3 linked regions of the Callithrix jacchus genome follow. Each later gene encodes a partner of the first gene's protein in a complex. Links are inferred from orthologs where the notes say so. Each region holds a gene or a part of one and is shown on either strand. Other genes may lie near its edges. The genes, in order: ANXA2, S100A10 and S100A4.

The links.
Region 2: the proteins of ANXA2 (region 1) and S100A10 are in contact, whole or in part, in a crystal structure (PDB 4FTG), measured with the Homo sapiens proteins. The link is inferred for Callithrix jacchus from reciprocal best matches to the Homo sapiens genes ANXA2 and S100A10. Residues at the interface, in NP_001002857.1 of Homo sapiens: Val4, Glu6, Ile7, Leu8, Lys10, Leu11, Ser12, Leu13; in NP_002957.1 of Homo sapiens: Phe39, Gly41, Phe42, Asn45, Gln46, Ala51, Lys54, Ile55, Leu79, Ala82, Cys83, Tyr86, Phe87, Met91.
Region 3: the proteins of ANXA2 (region 1) and S100A4 are in contact, whole or in part, in a crystal structure (PDB 5LPU), measured with the Homo sapiens proteins. The link is inferred for Callithrix jacchus from reciprocal best matches to the Homo sapiens genes ANXA2 and S100A4. Residues at the interface, in NP_001002857.1 of Homo sapiens: Leu13, Glu14, Pro21, Ser22, Ala23, Tyr24, Ser26, Val27, Lys28, Tyr30, Thr31, Asn32, Phe33, Glu36, Arg37, Leu40, Thr44, Gln69, Asp70, Phe73, Arg77, Arg78; in NP_002952.1 of Homo sapiens: Lys35, Leu38, Pro43, Ser44, Phe45, Leu46, Gly47, Lys48, Arg49, Thr50, Asp51, Ala54, Phe55, Lys57, Leu58, Asn61, Leu62, Gln73, Phe78, Cys81, Ile82, Met84, Met85, Glu88, Phe89, Phe93.

What each region holds. Positions count from the first base shown.
Region 1 is NC_133509.1:7,196,328-7,202,874, reverse strand, and holds the start of ANXA2 (annexin A2), read left to right. Parts: upstream 1-2,649; 5' UTR 2,650-2,700; intron 2,701-6,547. UniProt on the Homo sapiens protein: Calcium-regulated membrane-binding protein whose affinity for calcium is greatly enhanced by anionic phospholipids. It binds two calcium ions with high affinity. May be involved in heat-stress response.
Region 2 is NC_133519.1:11,918,181-11,924,787, forward strand, and holds the start of S100A10 (protein S100-A10), read right to left. Parts: upstream 4,072-6,607; 5' UTR 4,020-4,071; intron 1-4,019. UniProt on the Homo sapiens protein: Because S100A10 induces the dimerization of ANXA2/p36, it may function as a regulator of protein phosphorylation in that the ANXA2 monomer is the preferred target (in vitro) of tyrosine-specific kinase.
Region 3 is NC_133519.1:13,956,653-13,963,221, forward strand, and holds the start of S100A4 (protein S100-A4), read right to left. Parts: upstream 3,829-6,569; 5' UTR 3,816-3,828; coding exon 3,678-3,815; intron 1,991-3,677; exon of another isoform or gene 1,149-1,990; intron 1,019-1,148; coding exon 863-1,018; intron 153-862; coding exon 1-152. Other genes in the region: S100A3 (protein S100-A3), read right to left, coding at 4,205-4,369, 4,848-4,993, 5,967-5,967. UniProt on the Homo sapiens protein: Calcium-binding protein that plays a role in various cellular processes including motility, angiogenesis, cell differentiation, apoptosis, and autophagy.

The sequences.
Region 1 (6,547 bases):
TGACCAACGTGGAGAAACCCTGTCTCTACTGAAAATACAGAAAAAATTAGCCGGGCATGGTGGTGCAGGCCTGTAAATCCCAGCTACTCGGGCGGCTGGGGCAGGAGAATCACTGGAATGTGGCAGGGGGAGGTTGCAGTGAGCCAAGATCGCAACAAGAGTGAAAATCCATCTCAATAATAACAAGAGTAAAAATCAAGTATGGGGCAATTTAATCTCTAGGGTCCTTGTCTGCTCTAACATTCTATTCAGTGAATAATTGTATTCTATCACTCTTATCACATTTAGTGAGTGCCTACCATCGCTAGCTAGGCGCTAGTGGAGGCACTGAGTGCAGCAGATAAAGTGTGAAGACAATATGGACTACAGCAGACAATTTGAGGGCTGACGTAAATATTCTCCCCACCGTGGCAGGGGATCCGGGAGGTGGGAGTGGGAGGGGCGGTCGGTGGGGGCGGGACGGTGGGGAGTAGAGTTCTCTGACTAACACTCAAAAGATCTTTTATACTGGCAGAACTGGCCACACATTCCTCGGAAATAGCCTACTATGACCTTTTTTTTTCTTTGAGCTGGAGCCTTGCTCTGTCGCCCAGGCTGGAGTGAATGGCGCAATCTCAGCTCACTGCAACCTCTGCCTCCCAGGCCCAAGCGATTCTCCTGCCTCAGCCTCCTGAGTAGCTGGGATTACAGGCACCTGCCACCGCGCCCATCTAATTTTTGTATTTTTAGTAGAGATGGGGTTTCACCATGTTGGGCAGGCTGGTCATGAACTCCTGATCTCAGGTGATCCTCCCACCTCAGCTTCCCAAAGTGCTGGGATTACAGGTATGAGCCACCATGCCCAGCCGAACTATGATTTCTAATCAAAAGCTCCATTTTTATGATAACATCAGTGCACATTTCTTTCGAATGAAGCAAAGCCTGGTGATTGTACAAATCTATGGAAATTTGGATTTGCTGCATGCCCAAGATGAGCACAAAATTCTTTTGGACATTTGATGGCTTTTATATATTCCATATGATTTGATTAAATTTTATCTTCTGTGAAGGGCCTATCACAGCACAGGTCACACCAAACAGGCAATAAACATTGTTTCTGCCTTTGAAGCTTTCAGGCTATATTGAAGAGCTATAAATGTAAATCAGTAATTGCACCCAAAATGTTGTTTTATTTTCTATTTGGCCCTGCGGTAGGGCCCGTCGTGTATACTTCCTCATGAAAGCGCTGGGTAACAGAGAGCTCTGGGTGGCTTGCTAAGAGACTCCAGCTGTGGCCGACTTTCCCCTGTCTCACTCCAGGACAGTGAGCAGAGCACTGAATGTCTGTTGGCCTTATCGTTCTCTGATTCCCAGGAGTGAATTGACGCTCAACTGGAAAGTTAAAATGGACATGAAGAGAAATGGGAGATTAAAACACAGAATCCTCAAAAGCAGAAAAAAAGCTGCAGGAAGTGAGCGTGCAAGGAGGGATTTAAAAGACGCTGTGAGGGGTTCTTACCATAGCTTTCCTGCTAGTTTGAGGTTTTGAATACAGTATTTGCGTCGTCACACATACAACAAATACGTGTTAGCCCGCACATTGCCAACGTGACTCTTGGAGGAAAATCGAGAAACAGCAAAACCAGGCAAGAGAGTTGGGTAAACGGCTACAAGAAACACACACACACCAACACACACAACGAGGCTGTGCAAGACACACACCCACCCACACCCCAGTTGCAAGAAACACAAAACCCAGCTGCAAGAAACACACACACACCAACACACACAACGAGGCTGTGCAAGACACACACCCACCCACACCCCAGTTGCAAGAAACACACACACACACCCGCAGCAACATACACACCCAGCAGTCAAGAAAGAAGGACAGGAGGAAAGTAATATGTTGAAACTCCGGGTCCAAAGCCATGGGCCCACCCAGCCCAGGACCGCATGCCACGAGGCGCGGAGAGGAGAGAGCACAGCCGTACTAGGGAGAGGGGCGCCTCCCGGGGCGCGACTGAGGCGGCATCTTGGCTCGCGGCTTCGGCCTCCCAGCGCGCTCGGAGGCCGGGGCAGCCCTGGCTTTGCAGCACAGGGCGAATCTCCCTCCCTCCCGGCGCGGCCCCCGGGAACTGGCGGCCAGAGATGAATCTGACATGTTGCAGACTCCCCAAGGTAATGGTGCGCTGGATGCCAACAGCCCCAGCTCAGGGGAGTCCAGATTTATGCTTGTTGGAACAATTCTTTCCTCCATTGCATTATCGCCAAAAAAAAAAAAAAAAAAAAAGCCACTTAACCATGCCCGGAGTCTACTTCTAAAGTCTTGCTAATTTATTAACCCAAGCCGAGGCTGAGAGCTCGACGTGGCACTTAAGCAAAACGAGGAAAGGAGGAAGAAGCCGGGCCCCTATGGGCCTGCGGGCAGCCTAGGCCGGGCTTTCTCCCAGGGCAGGGCCAGGGGTGCGGGGGCCGCTCCCGTATGGCGCGGCTCGGGAGCGTTTCAGGGCGCGGTCCCTGCGGGCCCGCGGGCCGGGGTGAGTCACCCTGACTCGGGGTGGGAGCGGGCCGGGGGTGGGGGGTAGAGGCGGGGCGGGGCGGGGCGGGCCTCGCCTCTCCGGGAGGAAGCGGCGGGTTATAAAAGCCCCACCCAGGCCAGCGGGCTCCGCTCGGCATCTGGGGACGCTCTCTGCTCTCTGCTCTCGGCGCCCGGCCCAGGTGAGCGAGGCGCGCCCTGCCTGCCCGCTAGCGGGGTGTGGAGACGCTGGGAACAAGGGCACGGCCTGGCAGGGAGGCTCGGGCGAAGGGTCCCGGAGGCCGTCGGGGGGCAAGGGGCTGAAGGGTCCGCCCGCACTGGAGAGTCTTTGGGGAGGGGGGCGCAGGGGCAAGGTGTGCGGGGCACGGGTGAGGGGCCGCCGGCGTCCGGGCCGGGAGGGTGCAGGGCCCAGGCGAGGGGTGTCGGGCTGCCCCTTGAAGTCCTCGCAGGAACGGGGAGACGCGGCGCGGGGAGGGGGCGGAGGGCGGCCCTGCATTCCAGAAGCGCCGGGCGCCGCGAGGCAGGGTGTGGCCACCCGGGGAGCCGGTGGGCTTTCCACCGCCCTCGAGAAAGTGCCCCCATCTGTTCTAAGTGACTGTACTCGGAGCAAACGTGCGCTTGTGCACTGGAGCCGACCCGCAGGAGAGCAGTGCGGGAGGATGAGAGGGGCGAGTGCGTAGACACCACCGCCCCCCACGAAAGGAAACAGGAAAACGCCCGTTCATTCCCGTTGGTCTAGAGGATCTTGTGGGATAGCACCTTCGGATTTCACTCTTCCTGGAGACTTTTCCTCTTGGTTGAACACATTGGCCCCAGGAAGAGAGTGTCCCCCATGATTCTGCGGGGCGGGTTGTCCTGACTGTTACCGTGATGTGGCAATGAGTCAGGAACTGAGGGTACAGAAAAGGGCGTGGCCCCGGGGCCGCTGTCTCCTGGAGGCTCGGTGCAGCTGGCCCCAGGGCTGGCGTGGAAGGCTTGGGTTCCCTCAGCTGGCTGTTGAGAAGAAGGAGGGGAACACCTTTCTTTATCTGGGAGAGCGACTTAAGGATGCCTATTCTTACCACCACCCAAACAGGGTTTCAAAAAGTCATTCAAAAATAAATGTGTAAAGCACACAGAAAACACTCAGTGCTGTGCAAATGCCAAGTCTCATTTTTGTAGTCAGATTGCCATTTGAAAGCTGTGGGTGTTCCCAGTCTGTGTGTAAAAGAGCAGTGGCCTCATGGGTGCACGCCGGGCCATTACCAAGAACCTCAGGCTGTTGGTGTGCAAGGGCCTGGGCCCCAGACTGTAGCGATGGATTCTCTTCTTGCGTGTGTGCTGCTGTGCCTGCCTGTCTGGAACTCGGTGACTTGGAATGCGGAGTGCCCCCTCCCATTGAAACTGTGTTGCCGAAGGCGCTGACCTTCCCAGTCCAGCCCTGAAAACCCTATTTAACATGCCCTTCCTAAGTACGGGGATGGTGCTGGGGAGGTGGAGGGTAGTGAGGGGCGGTATGTTTTTGAGATTTACACTGAGTAAATTAATTTAATTGAAACACTATGTCTTTGCCTCTGTTCCAGTTTCTTTTTCACCTTCCACCTCCTTAGAGACGCTCTTCTGTGTCCTATTACAACAGCTGTCCAGGCTGGTCCACATTCCTTCCTCCTTCCTCCCCCTTCCCATTTCAGTGAACCAAACCGGTATCCAGCTAGAGACCAGCAAATTGAAACAATATTCATTAAGTTAGGAATGGTTGGTGGTCCAAAGATCCTCAGCAACCTAGAGGAGTTATTTAAAAAAACAATGCTGGGTGTGGTCCGGGGCCTGTAGTCCCTGCTACTCACGCTGGAGGATCGCTGGAATCCAGGAGTTCAAGGCCAGTGTGAGCCATATAGCAAGACCCCAGCCTCAAAAAATAAAGACATAAAATAATTTTTTTAAAAAAACCTCATTCACCTAAACAGATCTATAATTTATAGAACTCAAAGCTGTGGAGTCAGAAAGTGATCATATTCAGGCAATATCAAGAAATATTTTAGGTAAGACCAACACAGCCGAGGTGTCCTTGATTTCTTCCCTTCGTCTAAGCCCGTCTAGTATCGAAAGGTTTCAAGGGTTTCTCCAAAAGAGCGTTGAATCTGCAGTGGAAGGGTGTGACCGTCTGTGTGCATTTTTCCAATTGGAAGGTTATGATTTGGAGACCACCTACATTTTGTATTTCTTGCAGTGCCAAGTAGCCTGCCTGTGGTAAATGCCCAGGAAACATTGCTGACTCACTGACTCTGATTAGGGGCCCAGTCTTGCACCGGAGTCTCAATATTTAACCTCTTGTGTCTTTGAGCTATTAACCTATGGTATTGATTGACATTAAGCTTGCAGTCATGGCCGTTAGTTTCCCGGCTAAGTTCTGATTTAAGTAGTTTTCCTGGCATAGTAGCATATGCTTCTGTAATTGCTATTGATTTTGAGGGCAGTAGGCTCTTCCTGCAGCATCAGGCCTAGAATCTGCCACCACCACATTGCCGTCGCGAGCCTTTGTTCTCACTCTTGTGCAGAGCCTCAGCCGCGGGACCATTTTTCATTGAGGGAGAGTGGGAGTGTCACGAAAGGTGTCTCAGGCTCTAGTGGGCTGCTTTAAACAACGATTTATTCCACAGCATATTCATCACCTACTGTGTTCTACCCACAGTGGGCGCTAGGGATACAGCAGTGAACAAAACAGACTCCCCTTCCCCCCCCGCCACCCCCAAATCTAGCGGAGAGAGAAAGAAAAGAGACAAATAAGTGAATTGTTGGGTTTTAAACTGTATTTTCCCAAATTAATACTAGTTTCCAAACGTGGTGGGTGTTCATTTCGCCTTTAATCCGGCTGTTCCACAGACCTGAGCGTCATTTGCCTACCTCAAGGAAGTTTTGCTTACAGTTATGGTGTCTTAAGTTGCCTTCCACATTCATCTGTGAGGATTAAATAGAAATGCAATGTTCCAGGCCAGGCGCAGAGGCTCACGCCTGTAATCCCAGCACTTTGGGAGGCCGAGGCGGGTGGATCACGATGTCAAGAGATCGAGACCATCCTGGTCAACATGGTGAAACCCCGTCTCTACTAAAAACTCAAAAAATTAGCTGGGCACAGTGGCGCGTGCCTGTAATCCCAGCTACTCAGGAGGCTGAGGCAGGAGAATTGCCTGAACCCAGGAGGCGGAGGTTGCGGTGAGCCGAGATCACGCCATTGCACTCCAGCCTGGGTAGCAAGAGTGAAACTCCATCTCAAAAAAAAAAAAAAAAAATGCAATGTTCCTCTTTTTCTCACATATGAATCCTCTGACTTCATTTTCCCTGGTGCCACACCCTATTCTAGTTGTAGGCCACAGCAAAGGAAATTCCAGTTCTTTTAAAAAAATTCCACCCATTCACTGCCTGGTATGTTTTTTCTTCTGCTGTTGCCAGAGGCAGTTCATCTACTTTGCCAAGGGACAGGTCAGCAGTAGGGGTCAGGAGAGGCCCGTATTTGTTCTTCTGGGTGGTTCCACCGAGATTACTTCCAAATCTCCCTTCTAGGGTACACCCTAAAGCTTGTTTTGTTTTGTTTTGAGAGGGAGCCTTGCACTGTCTCCCATGCCAGAGTGCAGTCGCAGGATCTCTGCTCACAACAGCTTCCACCTCCCAGGTTCAAGCGATTCTCCTGCCTCAGCCTCCTGAGCAGCTGGGATTACAGGCGCACACTACCATGCTGTGCTAATTTTTGTATTTTTAGTAGAGAGGGGGTTTCATCATGTTGGCCAGGCTTGTCTCCAACTGCTGATCTCGAGTGACCTGTCAACCTCAGCTTCCCAAAGTGCTGGGATTACAAGCGTGAGCCTTCATGCTCAGTCCACCCTGAAGCTTTTAAGCCAGCTGAGTTCAACCTTGTTAGACCACAAGTTAGTAGCACCCAAGTGGCCTGAGTTTTATCCCAGGTATGGTGTAGAAAGCTCTGATTCTAGGGAGTGGCTGTGACTTGGAGCCCTTTGTCTCCCTGCCACACCCCGGCTGCACACCCTCAGCTCA
Region 2 (6,607 bases), on another chromosome or scaffold:
TGGGTGGGGCTTGCCTGGGCAGGGCTGACTGCAGCACTGACTGTTAGCTGCTGAAACAAGCTCTTCAGGGACTTTAATCTGGCATTTCCTCCCTTACCTAGCCACTCTGCAAGCTCTGTTCAGATGTGGGCTTCCTGCATCCTGGTTAGACACACTTTGACAGGAGGGCTTTGGGGCTGAGGCCAAGAGGCAGCAGTACACTCTCTATCCCCAAGAACTTGCTCTTGTACCTGAAACATTCCATTCCATTTAATTGTTTACTTGTCAGTCTGAGATTTAAGCTCCTCTTGAACAAGAACTACGAATTATTCTGCTTTTATTCGTGGAGCACTGTTAACTGTTAGGTGCATAAATGAACCACACAAGCCCTTGAGTAGTAGCTGAGGTGCAAGTGTGATTACCTAGAACTAGGCTGAAAACCTTGTAGCTAAGAGCTCAAGAGGACAATGTGAGAGTTGGGAAGGGCCAGGAAAGGGGCCCCAAAAAGGTTCAACTATGAATGGAACAGTAGAGTACACAGGAGGGCACATTCCATACGCAAAAGGGAAAATATGTGTCCTGCTAAACAGGTCTGGTCAGAATGACATGACTTTGCTCCTTCTCTTCTAACACTTGGCTGTTTTCTCATGTTTTCCATTCATCACATCTTCTACTTTATGCTTTTCTAGTGTTGCTGTCTCACTGCTGAGCATCACAGGATGTAACAGCCTTGCTGTCCACTCACCTTTTATTGAATTATTCTATTCTGATGCCTATACATGCCCACCTTGTCTGCCTGAGCAACAGGTCTTAAGAAGGGAGGTTGAGACATCTCTCTCTCTATAGTTCTCTCTATAGAAAACAATTCTGGACTCTACGAATTTAGTTACCATAGGAGGAATTCAATTTTCCATTTTTGGTTCTCCCACTCTGAGCATCCACTTTGAATGTCCCAGACACACATACACACACACATGCAGATACACACGTTCTCCCCATTATGCTTGCCTTTGAGGAATTAACCAGCTAATAGAAACTACTTAAGCATCTGGCATGAATTCTATTTATTTGTGTTTCTGTTTCTTTCCTCACCAGATTGCAGGTTTCTTGAGCAGGGTCCCAGTAGCCAGTGCTTGAGCCCTCATTGACCCTGCTCGATTAATTTATAAGAAGTCAATAATAATGTATTATGGTTGTCCTGAGAGTAGCAGAGAAGCAGGAGTCCTCAGAAAAGTGTCTGCTCCTGAGCAATCTCAAATGTTTGCTCTGGACCTGTGCCCAGATCCCAGCTGCAGTTTCAAAGAGGACACTTCTGAAGAGCGAGAGTCAGACTTGCTTTGCTTCTCTGTATCTCGTCCATACCCTAGTTTTCTTACAGCCCACCCAGAAAATAAATGGCAGGGCGTCAGTAAAAACAAACATCTGTTATTTAAAATATGTTTGAGATTTCCTTCCTTTTGCTTTAGAAATTTTGGAGTTTTTTTTTTTTTTTTTAATTGAACCCAGAAGGCATTCTTGAATTTGATCTTTGAAGCTAATTCAGAAAAAATGAGCTGAACCAATGGATCTGGATCCAGGCTGTCTCTCTCACCTCTTACCAAATAAAACTTGCTCACGAAAGACTTGGGCAGCAAAGGAAAGTTTCAGATGCAATTCAATAGGAAGAAAGAACTCCAAAGAAACCTCCTCCAATCTAACCGAGTACATCCATTTTTCCTTAAAAAATGCTCAGGCATCAGCCTAATCAGCCAACATAGCTATTGTGACAACTGCTATTTAATCCTTTGGTAGGGTGGGTGGTACTTATTTAGTAAAGGAATAGAAAGTTCTGAAAATTGTTTAAAAGAAGTAAATTGTTTTTGCTTTTGATGTGAGATTCTTAAATTTGTTGAGTCCCCAGAAAAATGAGAAACGTAAGATGTTAAAATTTTAGTCCAGCTTTCTCAGCACTTTGAGTGCTACTTTATACATTATAAGCCTGAAAGAATTCCATTGTTTCTCTCAACTTTATGCTTTGAAAGACTGGACTGTGTCCAAGGGTATATCAAGTGGGTTGTGCTCTACAAAAGACACATTTTTTTGAACTGTCAGTAGAAAGCAGGGAGGCACACAGTCTTGGCTCCACCCAGTCCAGGCCTGACCCCACTGGAGTGGCTGCTTAGGAGGCTGGCAAGAGGCCGGCACACTGGAGGAAAGGGGCCTATTTGGTGTGTCCAAGAAAAGCTAGGAAGAGCATCACCTAGAAAGCAGAGTGAGACCCAACAATTGCTTCATGCCCAGCAGACCAAAAACAGATGGCAAGAACTGAAATAAACTCCAAATGGTGGGTCCCACCGTGAAGAAACTACTCTCTGGCTGCTAAGGAACAAATACACCATTGGGAAGGGATGCTTAAACAGAAACCGGATAGGAATCTGTGGGGCAGGGCCCAGGAAGAAACTTACAGTGAGTTATATGAACTCATTCCTGCTCCAACCCCTGGCATTGTCTTTTACAATTTGCTGAAACATGTTGGAGGCAAAAATCACTGACTGGATGTTTCCACGAGCCTGGTCTCACCTAAAGCACACAACGTAAACTCCACTCCTGGAGGCTAAAACTCAAGCTTCTGGGGAAAAATATCCGAAACAACTGCAAACCTCTTAACGGGAAAGGCTACCTCCCAAGTAAGGCTGAGCCAGGGTGCCAGGCGCATACTGGCCGATAATGAAGAGCGGTCTTGCCAAGGCCTTGGTTACTGATCTAATTACTGCCCTCACCCACAGTTCAGTCAAGAAACCTCTCCTGCAGACTGGAGGCCAGTCCAGGTGTGACTCACTTCCTCTTGGAAAATGCCCTCTGAGATGGCACAGTTCCTCTTTTCCTTCAGGGAGTGTTCTGTCCAAACCATCCACAGAGAGTATCTGCAACCAGCCACACCCACATGGTCTCACAGCTGAGTCACAGGCCTCAGACCACTAGGAGAATCTTGGAGCCTTCTGCCCTAACCACGCCCTGCAGAAGCTCCAGCAGGGACAGAACTGGGTGGGGGCAGAAAGCGGGGTGGGCTTAATGCATCCCAGAGTCTAGCTCAGGGCTCCCCTGTGCTGGCCTGGCTTGGAGCGGTCTGCATTCCACCCCCAGCCAACAAGGCAGAGCTCCTGGTTTCACTTAGAGCCAGACTGAAGCTGGACAGGGCAGCAGTGTCCATAGCTAGGGGCAGCGCCATTCCTTCGGCCAAAGCGCAGGTGGTGAACCAAGTGCCAAAGGCAAGTCTGTCTGTCTCACAAATTAATCTAGGACTGGAAGATCCTTCATCATAGCCTGCTCTTCCTCCATCTCTTTCTGGTTCTACTTAATTAGGTTAGCTAGGGAACCTTTCAGTAGAGAAACCGCTTCACACTGTCCACCGCCCCCATCGAGCCAAACTGCTTTAGAAAGAAAACAAGTGGACCCCCCTCCCTCAGCAGGAAGACCCCCGTCAAGCTGACAACAGGAAGCCCCAACGTGAAACGCCCCTTTGGCCAAGGGACTAAGGGGTACTCCTTAGGAAGGGACGCCCCCAGCTCCCTACTCGTCCTACCCGCGCCTGCTCGGGCTGTCCAGCCGGGTGGAGGCTACGAACATGCAAACCAAGGTTGGCCTGTGGGCAGAACCCACCAAGAAACATGCCAGCCAGGGCAGGGGCAAGCAGGAGGGCTTCAGTAACCGAGAGACGAGTGGGAAAGCAGGAAAGGTGGGAGTAAAGCAAGGCTAACAAAGGGAGGAGAGAAGAGGTCCAGGGGCACCAACACCACAGTCCCCACGTAAAGGACAAGTGTCCCCTCCTCTGGTCCGCCTGGGTCTAGGGGCGGTCGCGCTCGGGCTGGGGACGGGCGCTGCTGGCCTCCTCTGGGTGCGGCCCAGAGCACCAAGCACCGGATTTCCCCACCGGCCGCTCCCCGTCCAGGCCCCGCGGTGCCCGGGACGCTCCGTGAAGCCAAGTGCGGGGGTTACCCCAGGCGGCAGGTCGGGGGCTGGGGACTATCCGGGAAGGGCACGTGGGCAGGGGGGGAGCTCACCTTGGCCAAGGCGCTGCGGATTCTGGGCTAGCTAGACTCGGAGCGGCGAAGCGAGGGCAGCAGGCTGTGAGCCTTCCTTAGTACGTGCGGTGGGTGGGGAGAGGGAGGCGGTGCGGGAGCGGGAGGAGCCTGGCTGGCGCTTGGCCTGGCGCTCCCCAGCCCTGTCTCCTCCCTCTCTTCCTGCCCCCGACTCCCCCGACCCGGGGTTCGCAGCCCACGCCCTGCTCTCGCTCCCCGACCCGCCTCGCTGCTGCCTTGCCCGCCCCAGTCAGAGCGTTCTTGTAAACTTCTCTTCAGTAGGAACGGTCCTGCCCTCCACTATTTCAGGGCATCCCCACCCTGGGCCTGCCCTTCCTCTCGGGTTTGGTTTTAGAAAGTCGGTGACAGAACCTGGCCGTCCTGCGGGTGGGGCACGCTGGCGCAGAACCAGAGGTACCGGCTCTGTGGGCACCTACGGGTCTAGGAATTATTTTCTGGATGACCTTGCAGGGAGTGGCACGTGGAGTCCTAGCGACCTCAGAGGCACTAGAATTTGGTTGTTCTCAGATTAGCCCTAGGAGGTCCATCCGGGGGGTCTCGGCCGCCTGCGCCTGGTCAGGGTGGGGGGGGGGTGGCACCCAGCACCTCCCCAGCAGCCAGGCTCCCCACCCTGCTGGGCCCTCGAGGTGCCAGAGAGGGTGTGGTTTGTCTTGTCAGCACCCAGGGGCGTCACAAACCCTCCGTTGAACAGGGGATTTACTTGACTAATAGTTCAGTTTCAGTGTGGCTAATGTTAAAAACTGGCTGGGCGTGGTGGCTCATGCTTGTAATCCCAACACTTTGGGAGTCCAAGGGCGGGCAGATCACTTGAGGTCAGGAGTTCGAGACCAGCCTGGCCAAAATGGTGATACCTCGTCTCTACTGATAGAAAAAGGAGTCGGGAAAGGTGGTGCGCTACTGATATCCCAGGAGACTGAGACATGAGAATCGCTTGAACCTGGGAGACCGAGGTTGCAGTGAGGCGAGAACACGCCACTTAACTCCAGCCTGGGTGTCAGAGTGAGACTCTGTCTAAAAAAAAAAAAAAAAAAAAGAGTTTAAAACTAAGTTTCCAAGGCATTATGCTGTGGTCCTTAAAAGTCCTTTAGAAGAATTTCCTGGAATAACTTTAGAGGAAACCTAAGTGTTTCCTAGGGGATGCTGACCTACTCTTTGCCCCTCCCTCGCCTCCTTTTATTTGAATTGCGATTTGGGGTTAAATACAAACTACTCGAAGCTGTTGGTGGAAAACAGCCCAGTCCCAAACTCTGGGGTTTTCCTTTGTTCCCAGGGGAGGCCTTGGAAGGAGTGAGCGATCCCAAAGGAATGAGCAGACTTGGGGAATCCTCCAAGTGCCACTTCTGACTAATCTTGGCTGTCGCCAGGAAAACCTAACTTGGATTTCAGCTATTGCTTTTCCTGCAGCCTGGTGCTGACTATTCAAGTGGACAGCTTGTCTTCTGGGATCTTGCTGTATACAGTACTTCCCAGTCCCCAGGTCACAGTCATCAGTGGAGGAAATCTCGGATCCCTTTTGTCCCAGGGATTGGAATGCTACTGGGTTTGGAATAGGAATGCCTGGGTTTGCATACCCGTACTCATCTGATTTCTTCATCTAGTCCACAGACCTTAAAAGTGCTTTAGTGTATGTGCATACGCCTGGGAATTCAGGGATTAAGGAATCAGTCTCTTCCCTCCAAGGGCTTGGGAGTTAGATAAGCAAACAATGTAAATCCAGTGTGCTTAGTGAATGGTAGAGGATACTATCAGATAGTAGGAGAACACTGAGGAGGGGCTTTCAAGTTTCCTTGGAGTGGTCAGAATAATTCTTGCAGGATGCAACATTGGTAGAAATTAAAAAATAATGATGACACTTACTAGAACTTTTAAATCTGTACAAAGATTCTATTCTTAGAAGGCTTGGAAAAATCTTAATGTATAAAATGTGATTTATAAATACATGAACCAAAGGTCAATATTTTCCTATTTCTTTCTAGTCTTTTTATGTATATATGACAAATAGTTACGTAATTCTGATCATGCTGGTTATAAAATTGAGTACAGTCATTCACTGCATAACAATGTTTGAGCCAAGAATGGATCGTGTATACAGCAGTGGTCCCTCAGATTATAATAGAGCCAAAAAATTCCTTTTGCCTAGTGACCTCGTAGCCGTCTAACGCGGTGCTCATGTGCTTGTGGTGATGCTGGTGTGAACAGACTGCTGCGCCGCCGGTTGTGTAAAAACACAGCACATACCGCTTACGTGTAGTAAACAGTCCTTGAGAATGGTAATAAATGACTTACTGCTTTATGGATTTGCTATACTTGTCATCATTATTTTAGAGTGTACTCCTTCTTATTAAAAAAGACAGTAAAACTTTAAAAAAAGTTTTTGAAACAGCCTCAGGCAGCTCTTTGAGGAGGTTTTCCAGAAGAAGGCACTGTTACCATAGGAGCTGTGTGTCATTGCCCTGAAGGGCCTTCCAGTGGGGCGAGATATAGAAGTGAAAGCAGACCTAGGCTGCTATGTGCGTCGGTGTCTTAGTTTTGTGTGTGTGTATGTGTCT
Region 3 (6,569 bases), on another chromosome or scaffold:
GGCTGCTTATCTGGGAAGCCTTCAAAGGATTCATTACACATCATGGCGATGCAGGACAGGAAGACGCAGTACTCCTGGAAGTCCACCTCGTTGTCCCTATTGCTGTCCAGGTTGCTCATCAGCTTCTGGAACGCGGCTTCATCTGTCCTTTTCTGGAGGGAGAAGAGGCTACGCATAGAAAGCAGAAGCCCAGTGGGTGGCGCCAGGACCAGACCCAGTTTCTACCTCCGGACCAGAGCTCGGGAAGGCTCCTTTGGGAGGTCCAGTTCGGAACTCCCACCCCCAAGGCTAAGCTAGGGCGGAGAAGGTGCTCCTTGGATGAGAAAGTCTGAGTACCTGGTGCAACGGAAAAATGACAGGGCCACAACATTTTCACCCAAGGCTGTTCTAATAATCCCATGAGGGATTATTTCAGTCATGAAAGACATATGTAAACTGTGCAATGTTTGCTACCGATGTACATTGTTATTGTTTGAGGGGAAAGTCTGCAGGCATGTGATCATCTCCACATTGTATCTTCACAAGCCAGACAGAAACTCAGTGTCCATCGTTGGAGTAAGGGCAAGAGTCACACCGTCCCGGCCCGGATGGCCGTTCTGGGCACTGACCACCTTGGGAAGTTACTTAGCACCCTGAGCTTAGGCTTCCCTTCAGTGCAGAGTACCTGGTGGTGTCTGACCAGTTCATTCTCAGCCCTCTTTCAGCAGGGCGCCAGTCCGTGAGTGGTGGTATTCACTGTTTCCACCCCAAGCAGCCGCCCCACTGATAGATGCCCTCTGTAGCTAATTCTCTATAGCAGGACTGCTGCCTCCTCTGTGGGAAATCGCCCATGTGGGGGCACACTCAGGCACTACCCACTCACCCTCAAGAAGCTGGGCAGCTCCTGGGTCAGCAGCTCCTTTAGCTCTGACTTGTTGAGCTTGAACTTGTCACCCTCTTTGCCTGAGTACTTGTGGAAGGTGGACACCATCACATCCAGGGCCTTCTCCAGGGGGCACGCCATGACAGCCGTCAGGATCTGGGGGCAGGAGGCACAGAGACCCTCTTATTTACCCCACCCCCCAGCGATGCACTCACATCCCTTGCTGGGAGCACTTGGTGAGACTCTGCTCCCTCCCTGGGGGGGCTCAGAGCAGCGGGCCCAGCACCTGGTGGGAGGGTGTGGGGAACACATGCTCCGGGCGGTGAACAGTGGATGTTTGCAGGACCCTCTGCACAGGCTCTGGAGATTCAGGCAGCAAGCTCCCAGGCCTCTCCTCAACAACAGCATTTTTTCCACCCCTCACTCAGTCAATCCACTCCCACAGCTCAGCCACAAAGGCCCCGCCCTGGCCATTCTTCTCCCTCCCAGCAATGGGCGAGGCTGCTGGAGGCCTGCCCAGGGCCCTGCAGCGGAAAAAACCAGCCGCTTAGCGCTCAGCCTAGGGAGGGGCAGAGTGAGGTGGCAGAGTCAAGGGTTGGAGGAGAAGGTGCAGAGGCCATGCTCTCGACCTGGGCTGCTGGGTGCAGGGCAGAGGCTCCTGGCGCACACCACCAGACAAACACCCACAGTTCCCTTCTGCCTTTGCTTTGCTTCCTGCACCCGAGCATGCAACCCAGCAAGCGTGAGCCAGTGCATATACCCACGGGCACATATACACCGACACACACTAGAGCAACAGCACATGCAAGCCGCATCTCAGAAGCACCTGGAGAGCTCAAAGCCAGCCACTTGCTCGCTTTTCTGTTTGTTTTTTCCTCCCTCTTACATGCACGTGTGTGTGTGCACATGCACACCCACGCACACACCCACACACACACACTCTATCCAGAGCTTCCACATCAGAATCTCACATCTGGATCTGTTTAGCACATCTCGCCCCCACCCACCTCCCCTTCTCCTGCCCCAGCCCTGGCCTCTGACACCCCTTGCATGCCAGTCAGGCCAACACAACTCACCAGGCCAAGGGAGAAGAAGTGGAGGAGAGAGGGTTGTAGAGAGCGGAAGAACGGGGACGGCCCAGCAGTCTGACCTATTTATACCCCCGCCAGGCCCTGCCCATAGCAGGGGATGGGGGAGAGCAGATACTGCCCTCCTACTGTGGGCTGACATGGTAAGGGCCACAGCACCGTCCACCAGCCCAGCCTTGGAACCAAGCTTCTTGTCCCCAGGTGGGCCCCTGTGGGCAAGGGGTAAGCCCCAATGGTTACCACCAGCAGAGACCTGGATGTGATACACACTACCCAGTGTACATAGCCTGAGTTTTAGAGAGGTGGAGGAAGGGCAGCCTGTGCCTAGAGCATTGGCGACAGGGAGAGAGTAGTCTCCCCTCTTTTTTTGAGATGGAGTTTCACTCTTGTTACCCAGGCTAGAGTACAATGGCCTGATCTCGGCTCCCTGCAACCTCCGCCTCCCAAGTTCAAGTGATTCTCCTGCCTCAGCCTCCCAAGTAGCTGGGATTACAGGCATGTCCCAGCACACCCAGCCAATTTTGTATTTTTAGTAGAGACCGCATTTCACCATGTTGGCCAGGCTGGTCTTGAACTCTGGACCTCAGGTGATCCACCCGCCTCGGCCTCTCAAAGTGCTGGGATTACAGGTGTGAACCATCGCGCCCAGCCAAAAAAGTTTTTTTAATTAGCTAGACAGCGTGGCTGGAGCCTGTAGTCCCAGCTAGTCAGGAAGCTAAAACAGGAGGATCATTTGAGCCCAGGAATTTGAGACTGCAGTGAACTATGCTCAAGCCACTGCTCTCCAGCCTGGGCAACACAGCGAGACCTTGTCTCTTAAAAAAAATGAAGATTAAGGCCCGGCGCGGTGGCTCATACCTGTAATCCCAGCACTTTAGGAGGCCGAGGCGGGTGGATCATGAGGTCAGGAGTTCAAGACCAGCCTGGCCAAGATGGTGAAATCCCATCTCTAGTAAAAATTACAAAAAATTAGCCGGGTGTGGTGGCAGACGCCTGTAATCCCAGCTACTCAGGAGGCTGAGGCAGGAGAATTGCTTGAATCTGGGAAGTGGGGGTTGCAGTGAGCCGAGATCATGCCACTGCACTCCAGGCTGGGTGGCAGAGGGAGACTCTGTCTCAAAAAGTAAATAAATAAAGATTAAAAAACAAAAATGGGGGAGGGGATCCCCAGGCCCAGTACTGTCTGCCATGCCAAGTAAGGCCCAGGGCCGGAGCTGGGGGGTCTGGAGGGGAAGAGGTTCATACACAAAAGAGGCTCTGGGACCACCTCATAAATGTCAATGGGAAAGGTTCTGGGTGAGGTAGTGATGGAATGGGTGGCAATGAGGCGTGGGGTCTCATGGATAGACCCCAGGTTCGGAGAAGCTATCGGGGGTGCCATTTAAAGTTGGGGTGAGTGTCGGGAATGAAGAATCCAGGTTGGGGTGGAGAGTGAGAGGCGAAATGGCACAAAATAGGGAAGTCAGGATTTGGGTCGACCTCTCAGGGTGGGCTGCAAGCTCAGTGAGGGTTAGAAGTAGGGGGTTAAGGCCCTCAGGGGGCTGTGGCTTCAGGGATGGGGACTGCCTCAAGATACCCCCTGCCCCCTCCACACCGGCACCCCGCCCTGGCTGGGAGTAAACACCTCAAACACTCTAATCCCATTAGTGCTGCTCTCTGGGCTCCCACAGCCCGCGGCAGGGAACTAACAGCCCCACCCCACCCTCACCCCACCCTCGTCATATCACCTGATCAAGAGCACTGAGTCCCAGGAGAAACTTAGGCGGCCCTCTCTCAAAGACCCCCAGAGAAAGAGAGAGGAAGGGAGGACGGGGGTCCCAGTGTTGGCCCCACGCCCTCCTGCTGGACTCTGGAGGCCACGGCATTTCTGCAGGGTCTGAAACGTCCCTGGGGGAGCCTCCTGCTCCTGCCCTCAGCTGCCCTCCTGCAGTGGAAAAGTCCAGAGAGGAGCAAAGAGCTCAGCAGACGCGTCCCCGGAGAAGAACCAAACAAAGCCAAGCTGATGCCAGCCTTTTATTAGGAGTTAAATAGGCCCCTTCCCATCGAGGTCTCACTGGGGTCTCAGAGCAGATCCCGCCTCCTCCCAACCACAGGGGAGGCAGTAGGGGTGCGGCGGGCAGGCTGGGGCCCAGAGTGGCTCTACCCCTCCCTCGCTGGGCATCCTGGGTAAAATGGGTTAACTGATCACGGAAGACCTTGGCAAGTCCAGATTGGAAGGGGTGCAGGAGAGAGGGTGGGGGAGTAGTAGCGGAGGCTACTGGGGGCAGGGGGGCTCTGGGGCGCAGTCCTTGAAGTACTCGTGGCAGTAGAGACAGAGACAGGCCAGTGAGCGCACGTACTCCACAAAGTCCACCTCGCAGTCCTTGTCGGTGTCCAGAACACTCATGAATTTGTTGTAGTCACACTCCCGAAACTCGGTCTGTGCAAGGGAGGGGTGGGGAAGGGTGGGGGAGCAGGATGAGGAGGGCAGAACAGCCTCGCACGCCACTGCCCTCCCTCCTCTCCCAAGCGGACCCACCCCACCCCAAACTACACCCTTCCGAGGGCCGACTTCAACCTACCTGTTCCAGTAATGCACCCATTGCGATCCCCTCCCAAATCCACCCTCTCAGATTGTCAATTGAGCACCTACTATCTGCTACTGAGTGCCTACTACGCATTAGGCATTCTTCATGGTGCTCTCGCTCAGTCCTCTCACAACCCTGCAAGGCAGCAGGTGTGATGATTGTCCTTCCATTTTACAGGTGAGGAAGCTGAGGCTTCTGCTACTCCCTCCTTCCAGTCCAGCCTCCTCCCCTTGTGGACCTGTGCTCCGGCTTGTCCCCACGACTCTCTTTGCAGAGTCCAGGCCTTACCTCCTGCCGGGTGAGGAGGGTACGGACACTCTGCGTACTCACCGGGGTCCAGGTGGGCAGCTCCTTCTGCAGCAGCTCCTTGAGCTCAGCCTGGCAGAGCTTGTGTTTGTCCCCACAGCGCCCGGCATACTCCTGGAAGGTGCACACGATGGCAGCTACCGCCTGCTCCAGAGGCCTGGCCATCCTCACTGTCACAGAACAAGGGCGTGACTCACAGCAGAGTTCCAGGCCAGCCCCCTGCTCACCTCTGCCTTCCATGTTTCTCAGAGACTGTTCCCAGACCCAGCTTAACCTCCACCAGGCTTCAGGCCCCATGGCTTCCCCTCCTCTGAGCAGCCCTCCTGGACCACACCAGCCCCTATTCATTTATCTCCCTGCTGCCCTCTTGTGATTTTCCACATGTAGAGGTCTCATTGCCCCAACATCACTGCAAACTCCTTAAAGAGAGGGCATCTCACCCCACCACCCACACACCCCACCGTGGGGCTCCTTAGGCATTCTTGGGTTCTCTGCTTATCTCCAATACCCAGGGGTGGCTTGGTCCCCGTCTGCCCCAGCCCATGAGATGCCCTAGAAGCCTTCTGCCCTGCAGGAACTTGCACAGGAGAGCCTGGCCCTGTAATTCTCTGTCCTCAGGCCCGAGGAGAAGCTAGGCCTTAGCAGGGAGGGAGGGGCAGGCCTGAGAGGGGCCCACACCGCCTCACCACCACTCCCCTCACCCTGCCTCCTGCCCTGAACTCAAGGAAGCTGCATCCAAAAGAAAAACTCGTGGGCTCCTCTCTGCCTCTCACCAGCTCTGCAAGCCTGGTGAGCCATTTGCCTCTCCGGGTCTCAGGGGCCTGATCTGTGAAGTGGGGTTCATCCCACCTTGCAGGCCCAGTCAGGAACTGGAGCCAGATGGTCTCTTGAGAGTTGACCGGTTCAGGTATTTACCAATCTGAGACTGGCCTCCCCTGAGGTTACCCCCCTGACCCCTAGAGGGAAGGATCTGTACAGGGGTACCCTTTTCTATTGGAGGGGAAGTCCTTCCTGGAATTGCTCACCTCCCCCCACTTCCACTGTACCCTTCCACCGCCCTTCTGGGATGATGCCTCCAGCCTGGGAAAACCCTAAGGCGGCCAGGAAGGCAAGAGTTTTTTCCATGCAAGACCAGTGACTCACTCTTGGTTCCCTCATGGGACGAGAGTCCTGCAGCACAGGGTGGCCAGGGCCAAGACTCTCCCTGAAGGTTCGCCCACTGCTGGGCCTGCTGCTGGGAGCAAATGGCTGGTGTGGTTGTGGCTGGCAGGAAAGTAGGGGAAGGAGAGTGGGGGGTGCCAAGCACTGCCAGGGTTCAATTGGTTGTAAACAGCCCAGGATTGGAGCAAGGTGTCCAGGTTCCCAGCAGAGGAAAGGGCCATGATCCCCGGGAATGAGGAGCCACAGAGGGGTTCAGCACACCTTTCTGCGCTCCTGCCAGCCTGCCTGGCACCACCACTGCTGCTGTTTCAGAAGCACAGTGCCTGGAGGTGTGGGAATCCTCTCTTCCCCCTGCAGCCTTAGCCAATCTTGACCCGTCCCCAGGAATAAAGCAAGGAGGCAAGGAGCAGGCGAGGGGCTGACTAAGGAGAACACCAGAACCTTGAGCCCAGTGATCCCACTTCAAGGCAGACCTCAGCTCTGCACACCCCTCAGCCCAAACTTCCCTGACAGCCCTTCACTGTGCAAGGAAACCTCTGCGTCCACCGTGTCTGACTTCCCTCCCTCTGACAGTCCCGCTATGGT